Caenorhabditis elegans: one gene and its partner. The protein of the gene in region 2 interacts with the protein of the main gene of each other region in a pairwise test. Each region holds a gene or a part of one and is shown on either strand. Other genes may lie near its edges.

What was found.
Region 1: the proteins of rike-1 (region 2) and F53F1.6 interact in a two-hybrid assay, tested with the Caenorhabditis elegans proteins (one large-scale study listed by BioGRID).

What each region holds. Positions count from the first base shown.
Region 1 is NC_003283.11:13,413,492-13,422,724, reverse strand, and holds F53F1.6 (Protein containing ALS2cr12 (ALS2CR12) signature), read left to right. Parts: upstream 1-5,111; 5' UTR 5,112-5,120; coding exon 5,121-5,177; intron 5,178-5,370; coding exon 5,371-5,475; intron 5,476-5,533; coding exon 5,534-5,736; intron 5,737-5,784; coding exon 5,785-5,950; intron 5,951-6,097; coding exon 6,098-6,322; intron 6,323-6,389; coding exon 6,390-6,500; 3' UTR 6,501-6,629; downstream 6,630-9,233. Other genes in the region: srv-9 (Serpentine Receptor, class V), read left to right, coding at 47-200, 247-359, 405-543, 1,177-1,460, 1,510-1,585; srv-8 (Serpentine Receptor, class V), read left to right, coding at 1,985-2,138, 2,244-2,334, 2,382-2,535, 2,641-2,753, 2,812-2,950, 3,099-3,382, 3,430-3,508; cut-2 (Cuticlin 2), read right to left, coding at 6,789-7,347, 7,537-7,625.
Region 2 is NC_003283.11:14,539,773-14,549,764, reverse strand, and holds rike-1 (RING-type domain-containing protein), read left to right. Parts: upstream 1-3,943; coding exon 3,944-3,992; intron 3,993-4,035; coding exon 4,036-4,244; intron 4,245-4,284; coding exon 4,285-4,903; intron 4,904-5,056; coding exon 5,057-5,268; intron 5,269-5,359; coding exon 5,360-5,570; intron 5,571-5,615; coding exon 5,616-6,046; downstream 6,047-9,992. Other genes in the region: C53A5.13 (Fibronectin type-III domain-containing protein), read right to left, coding at 1-136, 180-307, 1,989-2,040, 2,364-2,482, 2,580-2,726, 2,773-2,824; kcnl-4 (Calmodulin-binding domain-containing protein), read right to left, coding at 6,872-7,082, 7,134-7,274, 7,324-7,433, 7,541-7,621, 8,204-8,267, 8,673-8,985, 9,030-9,138, 9,204-9,556.

The DNA of each region.
Region 1 (9,233 bases), 1.1 Mb from region 2:
ACCAAAACTAAAAAAAAACGAAATACTAAAATGTTAAACATTTCAGATGGTTTGAACCATTTTTAATCTACAATCAAAGTTGGCTTGGCTCAATATTCTTTGTAATAACGTATGGTGGAAGATGTATTCAAGGCGCCACGGCAGCTATTCTATCATTTTGTAGAGTTTGTGCAGTTTGCTTTCCGATTTTTTATCACAAGGTCGGTATAGAAAACTAGAAACTTGTTAGAACTACATAATTTTTAGCTCGGTGAACCATGGTACCTTCACACAATGCAAGCAGTTCAATTGGCTGGTGGAGTAATCGCTTTTGTGATTTTGTGGCCGGACTCCTATGAATATATTTTGGAAGACAATTGGTAAGCCGTTTTAAATTCAACCAAAATCAAACAATTATTTTCCAGTTTTTACTCGGTTGGATCGGATGACACTGATGCAGATTGGTTCTATAATTTTGTAGCAATTATGGAAGTGGTTTTGGTTCTGGCGATAATTGTGAATAATGTGGTTACATATACTATGTTCAGATTGAAATTTAACAAGGTATCTTATGTTTCTAAGTTGATAAAATTGAGAACTCTTTGTTGAATAGTTTCTTAGAGTGTCTGGATAAATTTTTAAGCCATAGGTAAATTTTTTTAAAAATATGTACCAAAAATTCATATATTTTAAAAGTAAAACCAAAACCACATTATGATAGTTAATTTCAAAACTTTTCCATTGTATTTCATGTTTGCTCTCATTGACCAAACGTGACACATTTATCAAGTGAAATAAGCTTAACCGGAAGTTATATTTAAAAAAAAAGGAAAACTTATCGATGGATGGACTCCAGTTCAACAGTGATAAGGGAAGCGTATGCCAGAAAGTTGTAAATGATAGCAGGACTATGAACACCAAAAGTCAAAAATCGATTATCGAAAAACCAACAACTTCAGAATATTTGTCATGGCTCGGTTCGCAAGAGTGTCAATTCCCAGTTTGACCTTGGAGTCACACGTGTTTTTGGTATTTTGCAAAAATACTTCTGTCGGAAAACTCTCAAATTAACGTTATTAACCCGATTTTCGAATCAACCAAAAGTAGAGACAGTTTTTTAGAGATTAGAGAAATGTTCTAGAGAAAAGTAGAGTATTTTTTATAACTCAAATTTTTACTTCAGACCTAATTTTCCAGAAATCTGCCATCAAATCAAACTCTATTACACCAAGTCAACATCAATCGAACCAAGAGAAACAAAAACGAGAAAATGGACTGGACAAAATGACGTTCATAGTGTGCCTGGTTGAGCTGATCTATTTTGCATTTGTAGTTTATTCACTTCAAATCAATCAATACATGAATAAGCGAATATTTTACTTTTTATATAACATCCTTTGTGTCATATATTCAACGTTCTCAGCCTGGATGCTTCTGATCATATCAAAACCTATTAATTCTCAAGTTCGTCAGCGATTCTCGTATATCACCCAGAAAAATGATATTTAATACTTAATACAACATTTTCAGAAATCTCGGTGGTAAAAAGTTGACCCGGTCAATTTCAATATCCGTCCAAGGAAGTCGAGATAATAACAAATCATGAATTTTTATGGAATAAATTTGTACATATGATCTCAAAGTTCTCAAAGTTCCCAGCGGTCAAAAATTGGTTACTTACTCGAATGAAAAATGTGATTTCATATTCTGGGGGTTTTTGTCACATGTTCCACTTACTCACATTTTCGCAAATCCTCTGATTTTCCCACCGCTGCACATTTAACATGCATCTCCAATTTTTTATTTCGCTTCAATAATCTTGAAACAAAACCAAACACAGATTTTACAAACTTTCAAAACGAAATAGGTTGGCCTATGATCAGGCAGCACAATTTCGAATCTGAAAATAGTTTCTTGGTTTTTTGTTTTTTGTTGAAGTAACTATTTCAGTTTTTTGGATCTCTCATTTGCAGCTCCTGAGATCAGGATAATTTCAGTTTTCCAGATGAATAACGTGGTTTACGACAGCTTCTCTGAGTGGTTTCTCATTGCAGAGACAGCTTCATTGACTGTTTTATTTGCAATTACTGTTATTTCATTTGCAGTTTATTTTGTAGAAATACAAATTTTATTCACTTCGAGGAATTCTACTTTCAAAGGTCAGAGAAGATAATATTATTGGTTTTAGGAATTCAAAAAACGTTTAAAAATCCAAGAACTAATTCAAAACAGCACAAATTTCTCTGAAATAAAAAATGTTTCAGGCCCATTCTACCGTCTTATGTTCATTGGAATTCTTGTTGACATGATATCTGCCGTAAATCTTTTTGCGTTACAAATCCTGCCAGCTAGACAGTAACCGTATTCCACATATCTTCTAACCAAAACCCTCACATTTCCAGATGGTTAGCATTATTTTATTTTCCGAATGAAAGCTGGCTCGGTGCAATTTTCTATGCAATTTCGTATGGAGGTCGTTGTGTCCAAGGAGCAACCGCTTCAATACTATCATTTTGTCGTGTTTGTGCGGTTTGCTTCCCATTGTTTTATCAAAAGGTAGATTCATGATGATTCATAAACCGATAGTGCTTATAAACCAGTTCCCCAGTTTTGAAAATTCCTGAAGTCAGCTTCATGACTCATCGTCTTATCAGTTTTCAGCTGAGTTATCCAAAATACACGTACACAATGCAAGCCATCCAACTCTCAGGAGCAGTTGCATCAGTGTTTCTCTTGCTCCCACGCGAGTACAAGTATGTGAATGAGAACGGAGGGTATGTGTGACACTTGTTTAACCTCAGAACACATTTTTTGTTTGCATTTAAACTTCAGATATTACTCGGCATTTGTTAACAACGAGTTCAGGAAACCATTTTTCAATTTTGTGGCGGTACTCGAAATTCTTTTTGTTTTGGCAATTGTTGTGAACAATTTGGTCACTTATATAACGTATAGATTTAAACTCAAAAAAGTGGGTTCAAAATATAAGAAAGAAGCATGAAAATGAAATGTGGATAGTGAAACATCGGCATGATCTTACAAAAACATAGAAAACAAAACTTGTACTCTATTAAAAAAAAAACAAAAAAAATTGTATAAATCTTGACTGCTACTTTCAGAAAGTGTTGTCAAGACGCACTTCGGTGGCCGGATCCAAATATCTTGACAGTAGAGAAAAACAGAAAAAAGAGAGCAGCCTGGACAAAATGACCGCTATAGTTTGTAGTCTCGAACTTATTTATTTTGCATTTGTTGTGTACTCTCTCCAAATAAATCAAACGATGAACAAGAGAGTTTTCTATTTTCTCTATAATATTCTTTGTGTCATCTATTCAACCTATTCAGCGTGGATGTTACTTTTGTTTTCAAGACCAATAACTGTGCAGTTTAAGCAGAGATTTTTGTACGCTTTACACTATAATTCCCAAAAAAAAACAATATGTATTTCAGAAGGCTTAGCTCAAAACGATCAACTCGTTCTATTTCAATTTCAGTCCAAGGAGGCAGCCGGGAAAATAACAACAAATGAAAAGAAATCAAATTCAATTGACTTTTTTGTTGAATGCTTGTCGGCTCTTATCTTTTTAGAAATAATGATAACTTTTTCATGCATTATTGAACGGGATCTTATAGTTGAATTGAGAAACACTCGATTTCGTGATACTACAAAACACAGTTATTTTCTTTTCAACAGTTATTTTCTACAACAGTTATTTTCTTTTCAAAATATCACAACAAAAGTTACATGAGTGTTTTTGAAAATTTATCAGTACAATGAAACCTTCAAAAACATCAGTATAAGTTTCCTCAATCAAATGTCAATGAGAAAAAAGTGGGAAGAAACCCTCATTAATTACTCGTACGATGGCTGTCCTGTGTGATACGTAAAGAAAGAGCACAGAACACGAGCGATGAGTCATTTTCTCAACTGGCTCAATTCAGCTTCCCGCCGCCCATTTAGGAACTGATTGTAAAGTTTTACGTATATAAAAATAACGATTCAACCCAGTGTGAATAACTTTTTTTTTCAAATTTCACTCGATATTAGAGTAATTTTTATCGCGTAAGATCTCACAGTTTTTTCATCTTTTGAAATCCCGTATCCTTGCACTATTTTCATTGTTGATATGGATTTTTTACATTTTAAATTTTTTTTTAATTTCCGTTATTTACAACGTGTGTTATACAAGAGACACATAGATCTTTAAAAATAGTAGAAAATGTAGAAGTGTAAATCTTGCAAGCAGGGAACATTTTGTAAACTAGGTATATTTTTGGTGATTTCCCTGAAGCTGTCAAGTGTCAAATACGACGCAGATAAAAAACATCCGCAATCAAGTCAGATGGTTTTTTGATGATCATTTCCCGAAATAGACCAGTGACCATGATTCTTTAAAAGATCTTCAACTCAATAGAGAGCAAACTATACACATTGTAGCTGGCCTATCACTTTGGGAACAAACTGGTGTCTAACTTCTCAACCGCCTCTATGTTCGCAGAGATTTTTATTTGGTGTTTGCAAAAATGTATATTCAATCCAATTAGAAATCAAAAAAAAATCAATTCAATGTTTAAATAACTTTCCTATCACAAAAATGATTGTTCCGACAACCGCTAAAAATGTGATAGTTGTATTCTACGCTTTATCATTCATCAATACTTCTCTTCACTTTTTCCGATTAGTTTTTTTTCCACTTGAAGCAATGATTTTTCAAAACTTGTTAGTGATTATTTTTAATTCGGGAGGAAACTATTACCACCATAGTGTACATTTGTGTTGAAAACCTAAGTACTTAAAGACGGTCCCTTGTAGGATTATTGTATTGTTTTGAATAAAGATTAACATTACATCTAGTTTTACGAGGCGTTAGCCCCAAATTCTAAATCAAATATCAAAAGACATCGTCGACTGAATCGTCGTTTTAAGACATTTTCCAAGTCTTGTCCAAGTTCAATGTTCAAGTTTAAATTTAATGTGTGTTAAACTCTGATCGCATATAATATTCTTTCAAGTGCTTTCAACTGATTACTGTTTTTATCTGAAAAACACAAGGCAAAAATTATAGTAAACGTACTCTATTTTTAAACAAATTTAAATCCTTGTAACTGTAATCAATATCAACTTGAATTCCAGTGAAGGAATGGAAGAATTAAATAAATACAAACAAGAGATCAAGGATAATGCATTGAAGGAACTGGTGAGCTTTTCGTTTGATTAATTTATTAATAGAAACAGTTAGAAAATTTCAATTGATTTATAGTTTTGAAAGTAAACAGAGGCGCCATATGAAAGTCTATTTCATAAAGAGCATTAATAAGCAGTTGTACAAATTTATTAGATTTTGAATATAATTTTTAAAAACGTTTAATTTTTTAAAACATTTCTTAAAGGATTCGACAAAGAAAAAAATTAACGAGGAGAAAAAACACTGGGGTGATTTACCATTAACGTACATGCCAATTTCCAATGGAACAATGACTAGAGAGTACGCAGAGGTACAATTTATAATTTTAGAAAATCAGTCCACCCACCTTAAAATGATTAATATTCCAGACTGAACAATTTTATAGTCACGTTGTCAACGTAAAAAATATACTCGATAGTTTGTTCGAAGAAGTAGAGAACGATATCAAACGGCTTGATGCAATTTTCTGCTTCAATGAATACACCGTATACGGACAAGAGGACATAGAACAAATTAAAGAAAATATAAAAAATGAATATAAAACATCGGTTGCCCATTTCAGCAAGCTATGGTGAATTTTTAATTTTTCAAAACAATTTAGTAGTTTCTTAATATTCAGGGAAGATATCAAAGCAATGAGCGTTCTTCTTCGTTCATGTTTCAATAAAACATGGGACCGTCATTCCGAAGTGACTCTCCTTGTAAATCTTCTGATTGCCATACTGTATCGATTATTAGTTCCGTTGCAGACTGTGATCCAAACCCTTGATGAATCCATTAAACACGTTAGTCTATATCTTTGAAGTAGTAAACCACACAAAAAATAAACAAAAAAATTGATTCAAATCAAAATTTCAGTCAGTCAAAGCCCAGAAATAGTATGTGGCACTTTTAAACTTAAAAATCTTTAATCAATTAGTTATTTTTTGCAGAGAGGTGGCCCTAATTATGACAAGAACAATGACAATTTCTTCCTCTTGAGAGAATGTGGATCCGCTTTAAGAGAGTGTAACACTCAAATTAAAATGGACGAAAAAAATTTAATCATTCGGATAATAAACACAAAAGATTTAGAAGGAGGCTTTAAAAAAAGCTTAGAAACTCTATTGAATGAAAATGAAAGTGCGAATTTTATCAAGTTACTCGCAGAATACCTGGTCAGTTTGAATGCTTCAATAGGGAATTCTTATGTTGTGATCGACTTTTTGAAATTGTAACTTTCAGGAAGGAGTCAATTTAAATGTGGATGTACAAGTGCTGAAAGAGAATTTCTTCATATTTGCCCAAGGAATCAAACAATTTTATCTCAACAATGTCGAGACACTTAAAGATTGAACAATGGACTCAAAATTGTTTTCAAAATACCTTAACTTATTTTTCACAGTTAGACTTTCGAAGTCTTTGTTTAATTTTGTTCAACTTGCCAGATTCCAATGTTCAGAAATAAAAAGTTTACGAAAAAAACATATGCTTTTCTTGCAGTCAGAGAGCAGTGTTTGAGACCAAAATTTCATTTCGAGAATTGGGTCAAAACAATTGACTTGATATACAGGTAAAGGAAGATTCAACAATTGATAACAACGAATAAATAAAAGGAGATATATCTAAACGTTATTAGATCGTCTAGTTCTTCTTGTGTCCAGCGTAGGCTCCTCCGGCTGGGGCAGCAGCCTGATATCCTCCGGCGGCTGGAGCGGCTTCAACGGCAGCTGGGGCAGATGCTTGGTATCCTCCGGCTGGGGCAGCTCCTCCGAGTGGGGCAGATTCAACAGCGGCTTGTCCGGCCTGGTAAGCTCCTCCGACGGCTGGGGCGGCTCCTCCGAAAGCTGGTCCAGATTGGTAGGCTCCTCCGGCTGGGGCGGCTCCTCCGAAAGCTGGCCCGGATTGGTAAGCTCCTCCAACTGGGGCGGCTCCTACGAAAGCTGGGGCGGCTTGGTAAGCTCCTCCGATTGGGGCGGCTCCTCCGAAAGCTGGTCCGGTAGCGTATCCTCCGACTGGAGCAGCTGGGGCGGTGGCATATCCTCCTGCTGGGGCAGCGATTGGGGCAGCGGCGCATGGAGCTGGTCCTCCGCATCCTCCTCCGAGGGATGGAAGAGAAAGTCTTGGGAGCTCAAAGCGTGGGAGTTGGAGTGGTGGAAGAGCTGGTGCTCCGCATCCGCATGGTGGTGGTGGTGGTGGTGGACTGGAAAAGAAAATTTGAAGTTGAATCATGAAATTAAGTTTTGATTTCTGCAGTTTTACTATTAGAGGAATCGACAATGAATGGCTTTTACTAAAGATAAATCTCAGGAACCAGAAAAATAAAATAGGTGAAGAATATAAAAAAAAATCTGGAATTTAATAAAATAAATCAATAAAATCAAAAACTTACGCGCATCCACATCCTCCACCTCCTCCAGATGGAAGAAGGAAAGCCTGAGCGGCGGCGATGGTTGTGAAGAAAACGATGAGCTTCTGCATGTTTAATAGAAGTGTTAGAACCAAATGAATTGGATGACTTTTACCGATTGGCCCGTCGCTTAAAAAGGGTGAAGCATGTGGGCGGGGCTTTTCGAATAAAATGCCAAAGGAGCCTGCCTTTCAGGCGAGAGGAAGGTATTGGTCAAAACCAGAAATTGCGACATTGAGGGAAATCTGACGTACGGCACGGTGGGACATGAGGGACGCGCGGAAAAGGACAATTGATATGACGAGTTCTGCAACGAAAAGTGTTTCTCTCTTTCTCTTCACCTCATGCCAGACAACGGCAGATCATGGATTCGGATAATAGATATAAGGAAGGTGAGACAACCAGCGGCATTGATGGGGCGAAAAAGCGAAATTAGGATTATCAGGATTTTACGGTGAGACGATGGGAATAGATGCGTGAAATGAGGCATGCAATAATACATATGCAAAAGTCCAAGGTTTGCCAAAAAATCGTTTGACGAAACTTTGAAACTGTTCTTTACAGGACTAGAAGCTAGATAGATTTGAAACGCATTAAGGTTTTGTTATCTTGAAATTAGCATAACTTAATTTTTTTTACAAGTTTCATGAAAAACTATCTCGAATACCCAATGTTTCAGATTTTTAGGCACTTTATTTTTTAAAAGGCATTGATTTTATTGGGAAGTCCAAAATAGAGATGCGTTTTTTTGCGGATTACGTCTCTGATCGTTTAAATTTTTAAATTTAAGTTTCTAACACTTTGTTATCATCATTCAGTTTCACATTTTTCGGAAGATTCAGAGATTAAGATTCGGTTATGATTTACGTATACCATTAAAAACTTAGCATTAAAAACTTGATCTACACAAGTTTCCAGTTTTCAATTTGCTAATTTAAAAAAGGTATGCCTGATCAGAAAACTTAGTTTTCAATATTTCGAAAATTTGTTTTGCAAAAGTTAAGTCGAATTACTTAAATGCTTTTTTCAATCATAACATAATCATGCAAATCAATATGTATTTTACGACCTCAGGAGTTTCGGCAACCCAGATAGGCAAATTTTTAAACCTATCATAATTTGGAAGCACATTCAAATTAGAATGTGCTGAAACATGCCAGTTTGCTACATTTTCCCAAGGCTAGCCTAAAAGATGACACACATATTTTAAAATATATCCATTTCTTTTTTCTATTTTTTTGGGAAAATTAAGCGGGGCGATATACTACTGAAAGATTTGGTTATCATGTGCACAAGACCTTATCATGACTCGGTATAACATTGGAGTTTTTCAGAGTCAGATTTCTTGTTGTCTTTTTTTTTTAATTCAATAATATCTTTAGATTCCAGTAACGGCGAATTATTCACCAAAATTTACACAATCAGCTTCTCGTTTCTGAGTTACCTTATGTTGCATAACATTCCTAGTGAAAAAATCGTTTCCTGTCACTTTCATCATTCCTCCATTCCTTACTAATGCGTCACGATGCCCTTTGTGATGAAGCTTCAGTACCCGATACGAACCAGACGATTGTTGCGTTTAAGTTGATGCGCAGTGACCTCGATGGAAGAAGCTTCTCCATTTCTCTTCATATCTTTCGAAATGATTGGCCGAAATACGATAAGAATCGGTGGCATAT
Region 2 (9,992 bases):
TTGTTCCGGCCTGAACTGTCACGTTATATGCTGTCGCTGGTTTTAATCCATCAATTTGAAGTCTTGTTAGTGGAATGGGCACAGTGATTGATCTCTTGTTTGTTGAACTATTACCCGACAAATCGTATACTTTGACCTATATTATATCTACTCTTAGCAATAAGACATCTATATCAAACCAGGTGTTGTGTAATAATAAAGTGATGTCCAGCTTCAAGAACAACAGGTGGAATCCATGATACTTCAATTGATTCGTTCTTACGATCCATTAAAGTCAATTCCGATGGAGCATGTAACCATGGTAAAGCTAAAGAGCAAAAAAAAATCATTAAAAAATTTGTAGTATTTGTCTTGCTCTTTAAACTTTTTAAAAACTGCCCATTTTGAAAGTAAAATTAACTTAAACAGGTTCCGCTACAAAATGTTCCGCTAAAATTATGGACGAAATTGATGAAATTATGTCTTTTGCCATTTTGAATGCAAAACTACTAGAGGATTTCCGGTAATCGTTTTCCGGGATAGTTTAATAGCGACCCGATTCTAAGAGATGTAGCAATTTAAATAGCAATACTAATAGCAAAAATACGGTATATGTAAATGCACTATTAGTATTTATTGAGATTAGTTCAAGTATATTGCCAATAATGATTGTTACCGAAAATATTGTTTTTGGTAGTGTCAAATTGGCATTCATGACACAATCAGGAATTTATCTATGAGTACACACACTTCAAAATTTTTAATTTTAATTTTTATTAGTTTTCAAAACATTTTTTTGGGAAGCCCTAGAAATTGATTTACAAAACGAACTGTTGGCTCGTTGACTCTTCAGGATGGTATTCCTTTTTAAACTGATTTTTAACGCGATATAACGCGATCAAAAGTACATATATTTCCCTTTTGAGTTGAACTGGTCTTATTGTAATCAATCAATTTGTAATCAATTTTTTGGTTCTTTTTGGAAATACTGTTTTTGCTCTATTAGACTTATAGCCTCTTGCACCCTTATATTCTCTTCTATGAGTGTTCAAATAGAAACCTGACATCACTTTTCTTTTCTGCGTCTCTCTACATTATTGCCTCGAAGAGGGAAGAGTGAGGGGACAATGTGAGTCTTCCTCACTTTTAAATTTCGATTTTTTTTTCTTTGTTCTATACACTAAATTGAATATAATAATTCTGCGTGGCGTGTAATAACATATACCAAAAATAGAAGATATACATACATTGAGTTTTGAATCAAAATCCAATAATTAAATGCCCATGTCAACCAAATTTCCAAAAACGAACTTTAATATAACTAACTGGCGTTGCGAAATGTATCGAAACACGACTCATTACCTCATAGCACGTATTTCTTTACATGTAAATGTACTTCGTGACGTCATTGGATAAGTAGTATTTTCTTAAAATTCGCCACGGTAGAATCTATAGAATCAAGACCATTCTCGTCCAGTTTCAGAATCATTCACCGTGAAAAATCAAAGATAAAGATATTGGCAGAGTTTTTGATTTTCCTAGGATATGTAGCAAAAGACGCTATGAGAGGTAGGTGGGACGGTGATTGGTGGTTGAATGAATTTGATATTTAAGGTCTATTTATTAATCATGATGCATCTTAAAATAATAACTACTTTTAGTACGGAGCATTTAAAAATTCTTCCTCAGGTTTTTTGTTGTTGTCTCTTCCTTCTTCCTCAGGTTTTTTATTGTTTCAATTTTTGATGGGTTTTTTGTCAAGTTTAAGGTTTTTCTAACTAATAGTTGTAACATCGTCAATCTGAATTTCGAAGCTTTTGTCGAAGAAAAAATAAATATTTCAGATCTCATATGAAATCAAATTTTGTGCAGTTTGACAGTTGTTAAAGAAACTGATAAGAATGTTCTAAACGTGGCGCTGTCTAAAAAATCGATCCTGATAGCAAGTTATACTTTGCTAGGTCATTTCTGAATTAAAAATAATATTTTTCAATTAAAAAGTTCAATACCTGCTAGACTTGTTGTTGCCATGTTGCTTGCGTACCAAAGACTTGTTTCATTCTGCAAACGTTTTCAGAAGCTTCATAATTTTCATAAATAATCAACAGCTATATTTTCAAAAATGGATAAAACTACAATTGTTATTTTCTCTAAATATTTGTACTGTGAGTGAGGATTTTCAACCTATATATTTACCTTTTCGTCAAAATAATAATTGTTTTCACAATATCGTCTCTTTAATACATTATATATTTATCAAATTTTTCAGATAGCATCTCTGCCCGAAAGGAGTGGTTCTTCATTTCCGAGGACCGCCACCGCAACAACGTCGGAACTACATAATTTGATATACTTGTTCACAAGAAAGCATTCATATAGGATACCTTGAAAGCTTCCACTGATAGACGGTAAGTTGTGTTTCCAGCTAATCCAATAAATGTGTAGTCGCGCAAAAATGCATCAACCAAAACTGTTTGAGATGATTTTTCCGTTTGTTGTGAACCTGAAATCGTAAAACTCAAATTGGTAAGATAACAATTATATTGTGAGCCTATCATATATTCTATATTCTGAATGTTCAAAATGGCCAGAGCTCGTACTTCTCATAACAGTTACAACTAATCGTTGTCTTGTCACAATTTCTTCATCGGAATCATGTTTCCATCGAATTCGAATTGCGTCATTTCTAACCTCAATTACATCGACACCATCACCTTCTCGATCTTCATCGATATCGTTTTCTCCTGCTAATAATTCGAAACTATTTATAGAACTACGAGCTTATTAACTTACAAACGAGTATTAAGTACGGAATAAAAATCAGAAAGTGTATGGGAAATCGCATTCGAATTAGATTGACGTTGTGAAAACAGAAAAATTAGATTGGATGAAGAGAAAAGGAGAAATCATCGTGTGTCAAAAAGGATAATATTGATAGAATTCTTTCTTGGTCTTTGAAAACGAGAGAAGAGAAAAATAACGAAAATTTGATATCGGTAGGAGAAAGGCATTTTATCGTGTCGCAATAAAAAAAACCTTGAATACAGTAATTCAAACCTGTCCTAATTTTTAGATATCTGTAAAACGAACTGGAAATAAATGAGAAATTCTGTGAAAGGTGGATATAAAATTGCAAATTTCCAACTTTGGCTAATTTCCCTGATCGAATTTTCTCTAAATTTAGAACTGCACAAAAAAGCGAAATTAGAATATGGTGAATGGTTTCAAAATGAGCGTGGCTTCTTCATTAGGTTCAAATAAGTATTAGAAAGAGTTGGGAAATTTTGATTTCAAGCAATTTTTTAAAATCTGAGAAATTTTATATGAGGAAACAGAACATTTCAAATAATGCTAAAACAGTTACTTAAAAGCAATGATTTTCATCATTTTTTAGGATATTCTATTTCCTTTTTTAACCGTGGCAATGTCCGTATGTTTCTCTCATTCTCTTTGTCGACGGATAAACGCGCCTTGCTCATTCTTATTTTATAATATCTTCTAGTTTTCTTCCGAATTTTCGCTGTTCATTGTTTTGTTCCTGTGTTTCAAAATAAAACTATTTCAATATTGCATGTTTTCGAAATTTCTCCAATCGTCAAAATTGAATCACTTTTAAATCTATCGAATTTCTTTCGGATTCGAAATCCAAATGGGTTTTGATAAATTAATGTCAAGCTTCGCGGCCTAGAATCCTTGCGTGTGCAAATGCGCCCTTTCGAAGTATCCGGATATATCCATAAATAATATTTATTTTCCGCCGAAAATTTTCCGGATAGAAATTTATTCGCGTGCCGCACACCACTCATCCGCGCGGAAAATATCTTATTCTTATTTTATTTTAGAAAATCCTTTTGCAAAATCGAATGCGCAAGTTTTCCCTAAAAATCGATAATTTCACACACATTGAACCTCTTTTCAGACAAGACGGGTCAACAGTTGGTTCAAACACAATAATTTTCAAGAAATGTCAATTGTGAATACAACAGAATGCATAATTTGTTATAATGAATATGGTGAGCACATTAATGAATTTCGAAAAAAACTTCTAAATTTCAGACACCGAACTCCGGAAACCTTGCATAGGCACATGCGGCCACTCCATATGTGAAAGTTGCAAACATCAAATGGTCTCATCAAAATGTCCACAGTGCAATCGAGAAGAAGCCTTCGCAATTACTACAATCAATTATCAAGTTTTAGAATTAATAAAGCACTTTAAAAGTATGCAAAGTGGGGGAGTAGCGCCACAGGCACAATCCACAAATGTAAGTATAATTTCCTTTTTCTATAAAAACCCAGAAAAAGTTTTTGCAGAGCTTAGACGAAGGAACATGCAGTGAGTGCACCCTACATTCCAAGAAATTACGAATTTGTAAAACGTGCGCCGTCGGAAAAGGAGTTCTGAAGCAAGCCGAAGGCAAAAAAGAATTAGTATTAGTTGTTGGAGATGATGGAGTCGATGAAGCAATGACACGAGCTAAGAAGATGGCGATTTGCGGTGATTGTGCTTTGGATGGGGCCCAACACGAAGGACATCAGACAATGCAGCTGGCTCTTTTGAAAAATAGTATCGAAGATCAAGCACCGACTAATCTCGGAAATAAAATCAGTAAAATCAGTGAGCTTTCGAAGCAGGTGTGCGATGATATCTCTGACAAATTTGCGGCGACAATTAAATCACTTCAAAATTACTTCGAAAAGCATGAAAAGTTGTCTCCGCCCGGAAGAAAGACTCACTTCAACAACATCGAAGCTGAAATGGAGAAAATAAGTGATACGATAGCTCTTGTCAAAGATGCTGGAACACGATTGGATTTTTTGAATAACGAAATCGAAGAGCACGATCGAATCGTTTTTCAAACTAAACAACCTGTTACTAAGGCAAATTTCGTTTTCGCTAGTCAGGATCCCGTATTGGTTGCAGGTAAAAGTTATATTTATGTTGTGCATTCTTGAACGAAAAAAGCTCATCGCGACGCTCGCGTGTCGTTCGTTGTTATCATGCTTTTGCATTTTATACAGACTCCTCCCGCGATTCCAGTCTAAAAAATCTCTCAAAATTATTCTTTTTTTCCAGATCGAAAGCAGAGTGCCCGTGAACCACTTTTGATTGGAGTCTACGATCCTAAAAACAGAGGATGGACGCCAGTTGGGCGAATGCCGAACCCAAAATCAAACTACGCTGTTGCCTGCAGCAAATCTCAAATTTATATAGTCGGAGGAATGAATAACGGATCATGGTTGAACAACGTTGAAATGTATGATCGGGAGAAAAACTTGCGAAGAGATGTGGGTTATTCTTTCAGCTTTTAAAAAATTCTCTAGAATTGTAAACTTTTAAAACAAATAATTTTTATTGATTTCAACAAAAATGTCAAAGTTATTACAGTGTAATAAAATGAAGCGTGGAAGAACACGAACGTCGGCGGGAATCCATAACAACAAAATGTACGTGGCCGGTGGATATGATAGCACTTATATGAATTCTGTGGAAGTTTATGATACTGATCAAGGAGAGTGGAAGGATGGACCATCGTTGCAAAGGCCTCGTGCCGATGCAGCGGTTGTTCCATGCAATGGAGAGGTTTATGGTATGATTTCGATTAATTAGTTGATTAAAAAAGGTTTAATTTCAGTGTTGGGAGGTTTCAATGGAAAAGAATATGAAGAGAAGATTGAGAAGCTGTCAGAACCTGGTCAAAAGTTCGAAATTGTGGGCGACATGCAAGGAAGTCGCGCCGGATTTGGATCGTGTGCCTTCAGAGGAAGAATCTACATTGCTGGTGGATGGAGTAACTCGAGTAATACGTTGAGATCAGTTCGAAGCTATGATCCATTGACGAAATCATGGAGAGATGAGCCATCGTTGAGCAAAGATCGAAAATATTTCACTCTTCACTCGACGAACGAAGCTATTTATGCTATTCGCGGATGTGCTGACAATTGGAGCTTAATCAATGAAGTCGAGCGATTTGATCCAGAAAAACGTGCATGGGAGATTATTAGTTGCTCCGGACCAATGGTTGGAGCCGGTTCATCTGCATCGAATGAGCAAGCTATTACATAAAATCGTGTATCTTATTTTCATAAAAACAGCTGTTGTATGAGCTGTACTCGTTGATTTTCGGTTTGGCGTTAACCTTTGAGACCAATCAGTTTACTGTTTTGGAGACCCGAAGAACTCGGGGGATGTCCAATTGGGGGGATTACCAACTCGGGGGATTGGCCCCGCCCACAGAACCGGGGCTTGCAATACGCCCATTTTTGCAACTGCCGCACGGTTTTGAAACTGTATTTTTCTTGTTAATTCTCGCTCTATTGAGAAAAATACAGTTTCGAAACCGTGCAGTTGCAGAAATGGGCGTATTGCCAGCCACGGTTCTGTGGGCGGGGCCAATCCCCCGAGTTGGTAATCCCCCCAATTGGACATCCCCCGAGTTCTTCGGGTCTTCTGTTTTGTGACTGATTACCAAAAATCCAACTTGCTCATTATTCATATCTAGCTGAAACCTAGTACTATTAAACGTATTATTTAAATTTTAGGATCTTTCCATTTTTCTGTCTCTCTGTAAAATGTAATTATGAATTTCGTGCCCCCAAAAACTTTTTATAATTTTTAACTCATTTTTTTCGCATTTAAAGGCGTAGGAGCTATTTTCACAATCAAAGAAGGGCACGAAATTCATAAGTACCCTTTTTCGATCTCCTGCGCTTTACGTGTTTTTTGGTTCTTTCATCTTTCATCACCCCATCAATAACCAATAAGTGTTATTGTTTCAATTCCAGACTCGTGTTAAATTGTTCATTAATATAATTTATCCTTCTCTCAAATCACGAAATTCTGTGAATATTCTTTTATAAATAAAATGCACCCATGAATTTCAAATTATTATCACTGCCTCAAATAACATTTCCTCGACATCACAGCCTGCGTCAACGCCTCAACATTTTCGAACAACATAGAGATCTTCCCATCAAGTTGCGATTGTCGTTGACGTACTTTTTGGAGACGATCTTCAGTCTCGTTGAATGCTCGGCGAGCAGTAAAGAAGTCGTCTTCATCCTCCATCTGCATTCGCAACTTCCACCGGGTTTTACGGAATCTGAAAAAAAAGTCAAAATTGGAAAGGAAACTGAGCTTATCATTAACTAACGTTATAACTGAACAAAGCAACATTCTCTGCATTTTTGCAAGTCTTTGTTGGTTTCTTCTTGAACTGCTTTTTTGATAATCTCTGGCACGAAGTACGGTTCTCCATGTGTTTTGAAGTACGCAAGCAGCTGCATTTTTATGTCTGAGAATTCAAAATTTTGACTTTTTATTGCTCATCTTAGAGCACATACTCATTGGTAATATTATTCTCTGCAATGATATGATTCACTCTTTTTTCACATGTAGTTAAAATCAACTTCCGACTGATAAGAGCAATAAGTGTAGAAGAGAACAGTGTTCCCTGAAACAAACTGATAAGAAAGGAAGAATATATATGAGGAAGTTATGATGATAAGAAATGTTTAAGCATAGGAAGAAATTGAAAAACCAATTGATAAGAAAACTTACGACGATGGCAGTTAACATTGCCAGTCCTCGTCCACAATAGGTATTCACTTGAACATCCCCGTAACCGATTGAGAAGAATGTCTGCAATTTTCAAAAATTGAAACTCTAGACCCTTCAAACGTTACATTTCATAAACTTCAGCTTATCTACATTATGTGAACAATCTTGTAGACTATTAGAAGTCAAAATAAAGGAGATCGTGGCAAGACCCAAAGCGATAATGAGCGTGTACCTTTAATGTGAGGTATCGCGTTTTCACGAGTTTACGATAATAAAAATTTGAGGTAAAATTTGACGACTTTCGGATCTTCAGAATTAATAAGTATAACGGATTTTCTTGCAAAAACCAATAAATATTATTCTGCAAGAATCCGAGGTTCATTCCAAATCCATCTGATCTAGCCACAATATTCAACTTTTCCAATTGGCCATCGTCGAATTGATATTTTTACAAAAATCAATACAAGGACTAGTATTTGTCAATTTTACTTGTCTAGTATATTCAGATTATTTTTCATACCGATTCAGGCTGAATTTCAGAGTGCCCATTCCCATTTTGACCACTGTAAATTTTTTCAAAAATCAAATTCCCCATAGGCCTCAGGATTCTGAGCTCTCTGAGCTGGCTTCGCGTGAATCCTAGGTATATTTCTTCAAACTTACAATAATCTCAAACCATAAATAATCAGCAAAATGTTGAAAACCACTGATTGATGGGTAGGCGTACCTGAACTCAATGTTTCAATCAATTCCTTTTCACTCTATTAGTCTACTCCTCTACTTTGGCAACTTATCTAATTCTATTCCGAAAATGTCAAAAAACTATCAAATACAAAAATGTACCATATATCTTTTCAATTGACATTTTTTCAATCTTCAGAATGTACCGACTATAGAAGTTGCCAAAGTTGAGCAACGAGACTGAAACTAATTGTTTTTTTTTATTGTGTAGACTCAAAATTTGCCTAAATGAATGTGTTTCATAACGAGGCTTCTCAAAAAAAATTTGAGGAATTTTTGAAAAGTTGCATTCTGAAATTTGTTCACTTGGGCACAATTTGAGTATCTACAAACAATGACTCAAAAACCGTTTGTCCTCCTTAAAGTCTAGACTACTGAGATTAATGTTTACCTTTCACATTGTGTCAACATCCAGGAAACAACGCACCAGAACATCAGTGACGCAATTGAAAGTACGAACAAGGGACGTTCATACATCTCGCTTTTTAGCACAAACCGAAAATCAACTGCAATATGGTTTAATGAAGCAATTGTTCGAGTTGCAGTGTCCTGGTGTTGGGAGCTATGAAGAACCATATATCGACAGACAATGAAGAACCGTAAGAACATTGGAAGAGTCAAAAGAACACTTATTGGGATGTTCACACGTTCACGCGTTCTTTCAGCTATGTTCGAAAGAATCGGCCACGCGACAACACCAGTTTCTGAAAAATGTATCCATAAAATAAATCTTCTCTTTCGATCTAACCTGGAATTGGACAAATTGCACATATTGCCACCTCTAATAAAGTATTTAGAACTCGTTCCGAAGTTATACCTACTCGCCAATTTGAAGTACCCGTTTCGACTAGTTGAATCTAAAATTAAGATTTACGGTGTTACGTGAAGGTTTGTAAGATTTCAGAAATAATAAAAATCTTACTTTGATATCAATGAAATGGTAGAAAAGTAGAAAAAAGAGCAAAGCTATCGTTGTTATAATTGCAGCTGTTCTTAAAATGAACGATAAATCCGATGTATTCACGAAGCTTTCCAGGATCCTTGTAGCTGTGAATTCGACATCAAGCATCGCCAAAATAAGCCCACCGACTGCGAGAATCAAAGTGGCATCGCACAGTTTCACTTTCAGATCTGATAATCTTCGACGAATTTTCCATCTCTTGCGAACTGTCTCCGCGTTGCTCATGGCTACTCCGTATCGTTTCCCATAAACTGACGGACGGCTTTGACGTGCCCGTTCTCCAGTTCCACTGTCACGTGAATCCCAATCGGAACCTGGAAAATATATCTATTTAAAACATCAATATCAATTTCCATTAATAATCCATACATTTCTGTTTTAAATTTTAATTGACAAACATATTCAGAAGCAAATTAAACGTAATCCCAATTTTTTAGAACAAAAATCTGCTTATTTTTCAAATTTTCCACTTTTCCAAATTGGTAGATTTTAAATTTGAAATCGACAGTAGCGTTCTAAAGTTAAAAGCTAATTTTAAAGACATGAAAATCACTTGCTTGCCTACAAAGTAAACGTAAGCTACCTTTAAGGTAAGTTCCTATCCTCATGTAGGCATCCATATAGGTACAACCTACAAACATTTAGCCTACAAACATCAATTATTCAGGACATGCCCTCAACTAAAAAGGGACGTTATGTTCATGGAGTTCAGAGATTTTTGCACAGAAATTCACAGGAAATCGTGCCTTT